Linked DNA regions of Rattus norvegicus. The protein of the gene in region 2 purifies or fractionates together with the protein of the main gene of each other region. This does not show direct contact. Links are inferred from orthologs where the notes say so. Each region holds a gene or a part of one and is shown on either strand. Other genes may lie near its edges.

Evidence for each region.
Region 1: the proteins of Actr3b (region 2) and Arpc4 purify together in Homo sapiens (affinity purification with mass spectrometry; 5 studies listed by BioGRID and IntAct, counting the BioPlex papers as one, with this or other methods). This does not show direct contact. The link is inferred for Rattus norvegicus from reciprocal best matches to the Homo sapiens genes ACTR3B and ARPC4.

What each region holds. Positions count from the first base shown.
Region 1 is NC_086022.1:148,080,531-148,084,728, forward strand, and holds part of Arpc4 (actin-related protein 2/3 complex subunit 4), read left to right. Parts: coding exon 1-57; intron 58-1,379; coding exon 1,380-1,491; intron 1,492-3,280; coding exon 3,281-3,376; intron 3,377-4,198. UniProt on the Homo sapiens protein: Actin-binding component of the Arp2/3 complex, a multiprotein complex that mediates actin polymerization upon stimulation by nucleation-promoting factor (NPF).
Region 2 is NC_086022.1:10,086,412-10,091,126, forward strand, and holds the start of Actr3b (actin-related protein 3B), read right to left. Parts: upstream 2,952-4,715; 5' UTR 2,889-2,951; coding exon 2,845-2,888; intron 1-2,844. UniProt on the Homo sapiens protein: Plays a role in the organization of the actin cytoskeleton.

The DNA of each region.
Region 1 (4,198 bases), about 140 Mb from region 2:
GGAGAACTTCTCTTCCCAGGTCGTGGAACGACACAACAAGCCAGAGGTTGAAGTCAGGTAGGGAAGGAGGTCAGAGTGGGCTGAGGAGAACAGCTCCCAAGAACAAACCCTGTCCAAAGGGGGCAGAAATCCATGCTCTTGGATTGTCAGGATACCTTAAGTAACATTTGTCTTGTTGCTAGATGAATAGTTGTTCCTGATTTGGTTAATTCCAAAACAGGGTCATAGGGCTCCCATTCAAAACCCATGGGAGACGTACCCCAAAGTGTGCCCCATATCATGCATTACTGAGCCCACTGGCAGCTCCAGAAGATGTCACAGGATTTAGTTCCCAGAGATGATACCTCTAAACTTTATAATGTAAGGATCAAGACTTTTTTTTTTTTTTTTTTTACTTTCTATCTTTAATACTCTCAGACAACTTCGGCCTTTTTTACACCCATACACTCTGTATTTTGAAAGTATTCTTGACTGGTTTTCGTTTCACAAATAAATATTCTTCCTCTTTGAAATTTCACCTGGCAAGGAGATGATTTAAGACTGCTAATCCCTGGGGTTGGGGATTTAGCTCAGTGAAAGAGCGCTTGCCTAGGAAGTGCAAGGCCCTGGGTTCAGTCCCCAGCTCCGAAAAAAAGAACCAAAAAAAAGACTGCTAATCCCAGCACATGGGAGGCTAAGGCAAAAGAACCACGGGGAGGGGGCTGGAGAGATGGCTCAGTGGTTAAGACCACTGACTGTTCTTCCAGAGGACCTGAGTTCAAATCCCAGCAACCACGTGGTGGCTCACAACCATCTGTAATGAGAACTGATGCCCTCTTCTGGTGTGTCTGAAAACAGTTACATACATAAAATAAATAAATCTTTAAAAAAAAAGAACCACAGGGAGGGACAGCCAGCCTCAGCTACACAATAGGCTTCTTCAAGAAACCCAAAGAAGGGGCTGGGGATTTAGCTCAGTGGTAGAGCGCTTACCTAGGAAGCGCAAGGCCCTGGGTTCGGTCCCCAGCTCCGAAAAAAAAAAAAAAAAAAAAAAAAGAAACCCAAAGAAGCCAAGGGCGTACATCTGGGGTGTACATAGTTGAGATAAGCCACGTTACCACATTCGATGATAAAGGTATTCTTTTGCTGGGTATTAAACCCAGGTCCTTGGGTCATGCTAGGCACACACCTTACAGCTGAAGCAAAGCTCCATCTCCAAAGTAATTTCTATGGCATTAGGGTGCACTGTTATTTGAGATACATGATGAACTGTGTGTTATTACTTGATATACATGGTTTTCACTAGGCGTTTTCAAATGGTGACAGTTCATAGAGCACAGGTACCTTTAGAAACACATAGTCAATTGCATCAGCTTGGTTCTCTGATTCTGTGTTTTTAGGAGTAGCAAAGAACTCCTATTGCAACCTGTTACCATCAGCAGGAATGAGAAGGAAAAGGTTCTGATTGAAGGCTCCATCAATTCTGTCCGGGTCAGCATTGCTGTGAAACAGGTGAGTTACCAGGGAGGGAGGCAGAGTTAGGAGTGCTCTTTACAACCAAGGACCAGTGGAATGGTTAGAGAGCCAGAGTCAGAGCCTGTTTCCATGAATTTCCTTGGGATTATTGGCCCGAGAAAACAGGTATAGCCAAGTAAGGGGGCACATATTTGTAATCCTAGCATCTGGAAGGCTGAGACTGAAGAGGGAAAGCCCACGAACAGCCTGGGCTACTTGGTGAGTCCTATCTAAAATAAAATAGAAAGTGGGTCAGTAGAACACAACCACAGCAGCAGCCCTATCCTAGGGCTTGCTCTGGATCCCAAACAAGGAAATATGGCAGGCAAGGCCGTGGGGTCAGTTAGGTGTTGGAGCAGAGAAGGTTTCTAACAGGTGATGGCTATGTCTTCTTAGAGTAGTTCCAGCACTGGTTTGATAGTCAGTTTCTGAAACTGCCACTTCATTTAAAAATAGAAGGTACAACACATGCACATACAGAATTCTTTAAAAAAAAAAAACACCCAGACCGTCCAATTCTAGCTTGTCTTCCAGAAGCAGCTGTGTAGGCCAGCAGTGTGTGGGATGGGACATCCAGAGTCAGGAAAGAAAAATGCCAACAACTGTCAAAATTAAAGTTCTGTCTACCAATAATCACCCAGACAAATGTCATTTATTTTCTTTGTGTATTTTCTCTAGTAGTTTTCTAGTTGGAGGACATACTTGTAGGTCGCTTATCCATCTTGAGTTAGTTTTTGTATGTGGTGTAGATTGGTGTCTAGGGTCATGCTTCCACATTAGAATGTTCAGTCGTGAGAATAATTTGTTGGAGAAATCGTCACCATTGTGTGACCTTGGTGCTTTTGTTGGAATTCAGGGGATTATAAATATTTGAGTTTCATTCTGAGCTTTCTGTTCAATTCCAACTCATATATGTATAAGATAGAATTTCCATTCCTTTCCATATTTCTTTTTTTTTTTCTTTTTTCTTTTTCCTTTTTTCCGGAGCTGGGGACTGAACCCAGGGCCTTGCGCTTGCTAGGCAAGCGCTCTACCACTGAGCTAAATCCCCAACCCCTCCATATTTCTTTAGGCAGTGTTTCCCAAATGCCTACCACATCGATCTGGGCCTTTCTGTCTCTGACAGAAAACTCAAGTGGTTATTTAAAGTTTGTTTTAAATTTGAGCTCTATTTCTATTTCCACTTTGGGAAGAAACTATGTATCCTAAATGGAAAAAGAATAACATTTGCCCCTTCTCTGCAGACAACTCTCAAAATAGCAGTCAAAACAAAACAATGTTGCAAAATTCAGATTAGCTACTTCTTGCCTAGGAGAGCTTCAGGGTTAAAAAGACGAGGAGCAGGCAGCCGGCAGCGGGCATCTGATTACCCAGATGCAGGTGTAATTGGAAGAGCTGATTTGGTGGTTGTTGGATTTTAGTAATGTTGAAGCAGACACTCTTGAGGAAGTCTCCAATATCCACATCCCATGTGTCACTGGTGCTGAGAAAAACCACTAGTGTCCTGAGGGTATTCAGGAAGCTTGTAATACAGGTGTGGACTCCATTGGGACTGATGAGAGTCTGGTGTGAGATGCACTCAGTGATACTGGTTAAGGGAGACTGACCCTGGGAGGACTTCTTTTCATCATCAGCAGATGCTGTAATTCAAAGATCTTTGGTCCTGCCAAACCTTTCAGCAGTGTCTGTTAGCCTGGGGAGGCAATGGGACCAGAAAACCAGGCTCAGGGCAGTTTGGACATTAGTGTTGACTTTAAAAACTGTCTTTCTCTTTTGCTGTTGACAGGCTGATGAGATTGAGAAGATTTTATGCCATAAATTCATGCGCTTCATGATGATGCGAGCAGAGAACTTCTTTATCCTTCGAAGGAAACCTGTGGAGGTGAGACCTGTTTATTTGTAATTCCCAGGATTCTGTCTGCGTGTGCCCCAATGTTTGATTTTTGTAGTATTTGGGGATGGAACCCAAGGCCTTGCACTGCTGGACAGGTTACTGTGCTACACCCTGGTTCTGTAGGATTGCAGCCTTTGGGCTGCTGCTTCTGGTTAGGGTTTCACTGCCTGGGCTGAGTCAGCCCATACAGTGCCCTCCTCCTCCTCAGAACCTCGGGCCTAGTCCCAGACAAAACAGTGATTTTAGAATCCTTCCTGCTGTTGGTGGTGTGCATGCTTGTACAGCGTGGGGGTGGCTAAGGTGGGAGAATTGTGAGTTAGCAGTGAGGCTAGGCACACTGACATGGGGTAGTGTGGGGAACACAAAAGCCAAACAAAAACTTTCCTACCAACTGTGAAGTCCAGCCTCTCCGTGCCACAGTCAACAGTGAATTGCTTGTTGTCTGCCTTTGTACTTAAGGTACTGAAAGGTATGTCAGCTCCCTGCCAAGTCTCCCTGGTGACCTGGCAGACACCATCAGCCAACACACCGAGTGTCAGCCTCTGTGTTCTTCACCCTGCTCCCAGTCCTCACTCGAACCTCGGGGCCACTAGAGTGAGTGAGCCCTTCTTCCTCACACAGCTCCTGAAGCAAACAGCTCCAGTCCCATCCTTTTCCGTGTCAGTTTTCCTGTTGTTTTTACTATTGAATTGGCGTCTTTGAAATAAGACTTCTGGTTCCTTTACTCCCTTGGCTCATTTCAAATACAAGGCTATTTGTGCCACGAGGACATCTGGTCTGGCACACGATTTTGAATTGGGTTCAGTTGCT
Region 2 (4,715 bases):
GTGTGGAGGCTGAAGCAGGGGCTGCATAACAGGCCCTCCCTCACTCCACCCCCTTAAAAACATGACCACCAAATGCAAAGTCTGAGGCAATTGCTAGACAGGGTTAGACTCCAAAAAAGACAAGAACTGAAACTGCTCCCAAGTCCAGACTGCAGAGGGAACAGCAGTGCTGCACACATGTTAACTTCTCTGACGAGTCTGGGATTATATAAATCCTTGCTCTCACTCAGAAAGTAGGCACTGAAATCTAGGAGGGTAATGCCAACAACCTTCTTTTAAGCAGCTCAGAAAAGTAAGAGCACATTCAGGAGTCTTGGGTGGCATGACGTTCAAAGCCGCTGAACCTGGAAGAATAGATTTGCTCTCTCCCAGTTCTCAGTAAGCTTGGAATCACTTCAAAGATGGTTTAACTGTGTAAAACTACCTTAAACGTTTGGGTGAGATGTGAGACAGGGTTTGTGGTGTTTTCTCTGGGAGCTCAGCAGCCTTTAAATAGTTGAGACTTAATTTTGGGCCTCACAGATACCTTCGTCTGTTTCTCTCTTGTCCCCAGCATGCCTGTGTCCACTCAGCTAGCTTGGCAGCTCATCAGACTCGAGGTCACAAAAGAAATGTATTTCCTATAAAACACAGGCCAGATGAGCATGCTAGCTCACACCCGTAATCCTAACGCTTAGGAGGCTGAGGCAGGAGGATTTCTTCAAGTCCAGTTCAAGCTTGGGTTATACAATGAGAAGACTCTATTTAAGAGAAAGACAGAGACAGTAAGACAGAGAAACAGAGAGGGCACACAGACGGACAAGACTGGACCTCAGGGTGCAATTCAGTGGCAGAGGCTTCCCTTACCAATATCGCTGGGTTTGACGCCTATCACCATCAAAACAACACAACACAATGCAAAACAAAAATCTGTCCACTTATTTCATCAGCAGTGCCCACGTGATCTCTCAAGTCTATTCTGTTCCTCAGCCCTTGCTATTTTTAGCTGCACTGTTCTATTCTGAGGTATAACTTGGTCCAAAATGAGATCTCCCAAGTCTATTCTGTCCCCCAGCCCCTGCTATTTTCAGCTGTATCTTACATTTAGTTCTATTCTGAGGTAAAAACTCAATCCAAAATAAATACAAGAATTACTAATACATGGAAGCTGGCACGTTTAGGCTATGCAGCCTTCCTTCTGCTCACACACTGAGCACTAGGAAGTCATGATAACCACAGGGGCTTCAATGGCAGAAAACACCCCATAGGAACCCCAGGTCCCTGGCACTGTGTCCAGAGCCTATGACAGCCCACAGATGACACCCTGAGGCACCCAGGGCCATGATGATCCACTGGAGGTGACAGCAGCATTAATCACTGACCCCAAAAGGTCAAAACTGAGCATGCTTTAGATATTTATAGCAAGAACAATGAGTAAGATCTCAGCTTACTAATAAGAAATAAAACACAGTTTATAAACCCGGGGAGAACTGTTTTGCTGTACCACTGCACAATGCTTCGTATTTCAGCAACCAAAAATCTCACCCGCAGACGTTAAAACAAACAACTTTTACATATTGCCTTCACTGCTGACACTACCAGACTGAAGGGAGTACCAGTTAGGGTGAGACTGTAAGGGGAGCCAGCACATACAGAGTGGGCTGGGAGAGCCCTACTGCTTTGAGCATGTCTGGAAGTAAGCAACTTCTCAAATACAGGGCAACAAAACTTCTCTAGAACGTGTATTTCCAAAAGAAGAATTAGCACAAATAAAGGATGTTTTTCCAGTCTGCATCACTGCTGGTTCCCGAGTACCAAAAGGAAAGACACATCAGTAGGAGATGGACTGTAACAAATTAGAAGACACCCCCACAAGGTTGTCAAGGAAACCAAACCAAGTATATTTTTCTACAGGAAAGAATAGCAAGAGAACATGCCACAGACTATTTGGTGACAAAGGACTACAATCCCTTGAAAAACATTTTAAGAGGCTAAATTTATTTGCAGGCTATTTATGAAGTACTTTGTCGGCAATGCCAGCAGGTATTCCCAAACCCCCAGGTTGGAGGGCTTGGTTGCCACCTTCCTAAAATTAGCTAAGCCTGACAGCATAAGCCACGCTTAAGGTCTCCTCTGAAAAAAAAAAATCAACGTCTTCCAAAAAGAAAAGAGCTATCTACCTCCCAAAAAAGAAGACTTTTTATTCAAAATGTTAGTCTTTTTTAAATGCATCGGTCAGTGTGTGTGTGTGTGTGTGTGTGTGTGTGTGTGTGTGTGTGTGTGTGTAAAGCAAAGATGAGTGCATGCAAACCAAAGCAGGGGCTGGGCTTGGCTGTGCCATTCAGAGTGGAAAAGAGCAGAGTGGGAAGGGGGACAGGGTGTCAAGTTGACAAGGCACGTGTAAACATCTCCACAAGTAGGTGCTTGGTACATCAGAAGAGAAAGGTAAAACGCCCATGAGTGCAAAGTATGAAGACAGGTGACAAGCACCATGGGGGTGGGGGGGAGCAGTCGTGGGGGGAAGGGGGCCGGACCCTGAGCTCTCAGGTGCAAGACCTGCAGCGAAAGCATCTGCAGCAACATCCCCACGAGGTGCTGCCCACCCGGCAACCCCGCAGCCCCATGCCCTCAGCACCCCATCTTCTCAGAGCCCCATCCCTTAGCTCTCTATGCCCTCAGATTGAGCTCCGTCCCCACAGTTCCCCACCCCACCCCTAGACTGAGCCCTATCCCTCAAACTCCCCAAACCCTCAGACTGAGCTCTGTCCCTCAGCGCTTCGTCCCTCCGCGCTCCTCCAGCGGTCTGACCCCGCGGGGAAATGGCTTCAGGACGCCCAGCGAAGCGTGAGTGGGCGCGGCTCTTACCCGGTGCCGCAGTCAACCACGCAGGGAGGCAGCGAGCCCGCCATGCTCGTCCACGAGGCGCTCGGTCCCCACCAGCCCCAGCGTGCACCGGGGACCCAGAGCCTAGCTGCCAGGTCGCTGCCCGCGCCGCTCCCCACCCAGGAGCGGCCGGGAACCCAGAGGCTCCGCCTCGTGACGTCACTCTACAGTTGGCCAATCGGGGACGCGCACGCTCCGCCCCCTTGTCAGCCATCCTTACTGCTGGCAGCTAGGCTTTTTAGCCTCTGCATCCATCCTGCAGTGGAAGAGATTGGAGTCTATTTTTAACAAGCATAAGATGACTATGACCCCATTTGCGAGGCCTGAATTCTTTCTCTTCTCTCTTTTTTTCAAATCGTAATTTTGTTTTGTTTTGTTTTCGAAGCAGGGTTTCTATGTGTAGCCCTTACTGTCCTGGAACTTGTTCTGTAGACCAGGCTAGCCCCACTTGTCTCTGCCTCGGTAATGCTGGGATCAAAGGTGTGCACCACCACTCTCGGCTTATCTAGTTGCAACTTTTTTGATATCATTGGGTGTGTGTCTGTCTGTTGGTAGGTGCATGTATGTAAGAGCAGGTGCTCTTGGAAGCCAGAGGCTTGGGATCCCCTGCAGCTGAAGTTATAGACAGCAGTGAGTGGGCACCAGGAGTCCGAACTGGGTCCTCTGGAAGCTCAGCAAGTGCTCTTAATAGCTGAGCCATCTCTCTAGCCCCGCTTTCTCTTCTCTTAATTCTCACTTCGGTGTTCCCTTCATTCTCTACCCCAACAACCTCCTGATTTTGTTTCTAACCTTTAAAGCTAGTTTGGGTACTTATTTATAGATAAGCACCTCTGCTGAACTAGGTCTCCTAGGACAGGGCCTCATGCTTAACACCTTTAGCGCTCTGATAGTAATCACCTGAATGTTGAATGAATGAGTAACCTTCACTGTAGAAAAAAATACTGACGACTTTCTATGATAGAACATTGCATAAATGTATCCTGGGAGAAAATCAACAAATGTATAATTAGTCTTAAGGAATAAATGCTGTGTGTTTAGCATCATTTGCTCCATGTATATTATTATATTGATCATGCTTTAACAGTGTGTCAAGTCGACATGACCTAGAACACTTAGGTTAAGTCAATACCACACCAACAGAACTAGGAAATATTTCCAATATGAAAGATAGGGTGATCACCCAGCATCGTTGAGGAAACCAAGACTAAAGAAGGAAACTGCCTACCTACCGGAAATCCCACTTGTGCCCTACACATTAGCCTCTAAAGTTCTTGACTGATGCCTGAGGAACTTTCTAGAGATGTAGTAATTCACTTGGTCTTTTCTGGGACTTAAAGAATTGTGGGTTTTCCACAGATGAATTAGATTATTTGACCACTCATAGGTAATTCTTTATCCTTTTTTCCTGCATGCAAGGGAGCAAATAATCCTAAACCTAAAACAATGTCCAGGGGAACTAAAGAGAAAATATGAAGACAAATAAAAAGTGTGAACGCTCCCAAACGGGGCCCAGAACCAGACAAGACATCTTTCCTTCTGTGCATGTTATTAATGTCCTGCCCATTCCTATTGTCTGTCAGTCTGTCTGTTTTTGAAGCCTGGACCAAAGCAACAAAGTCCCTACTGCAGGCTGTTGGCATTGCCGTGTGTTTTAGCATCATTTCCTTGACGTATATTTACTACATTGACCATGTGCTTTAACCGTGTGTGGTCAATGATTGATAATGATGTCAAGTCAACAGGACCTAGACCACCTGGGAACAAGCATGCCTGTGAGGGAGTTTGCCCATTGTGCTAACTGAGAGAGGGAGACACACCTAAATGTGGTTGAGGTCCCAGGGAAGTTGGAAAGA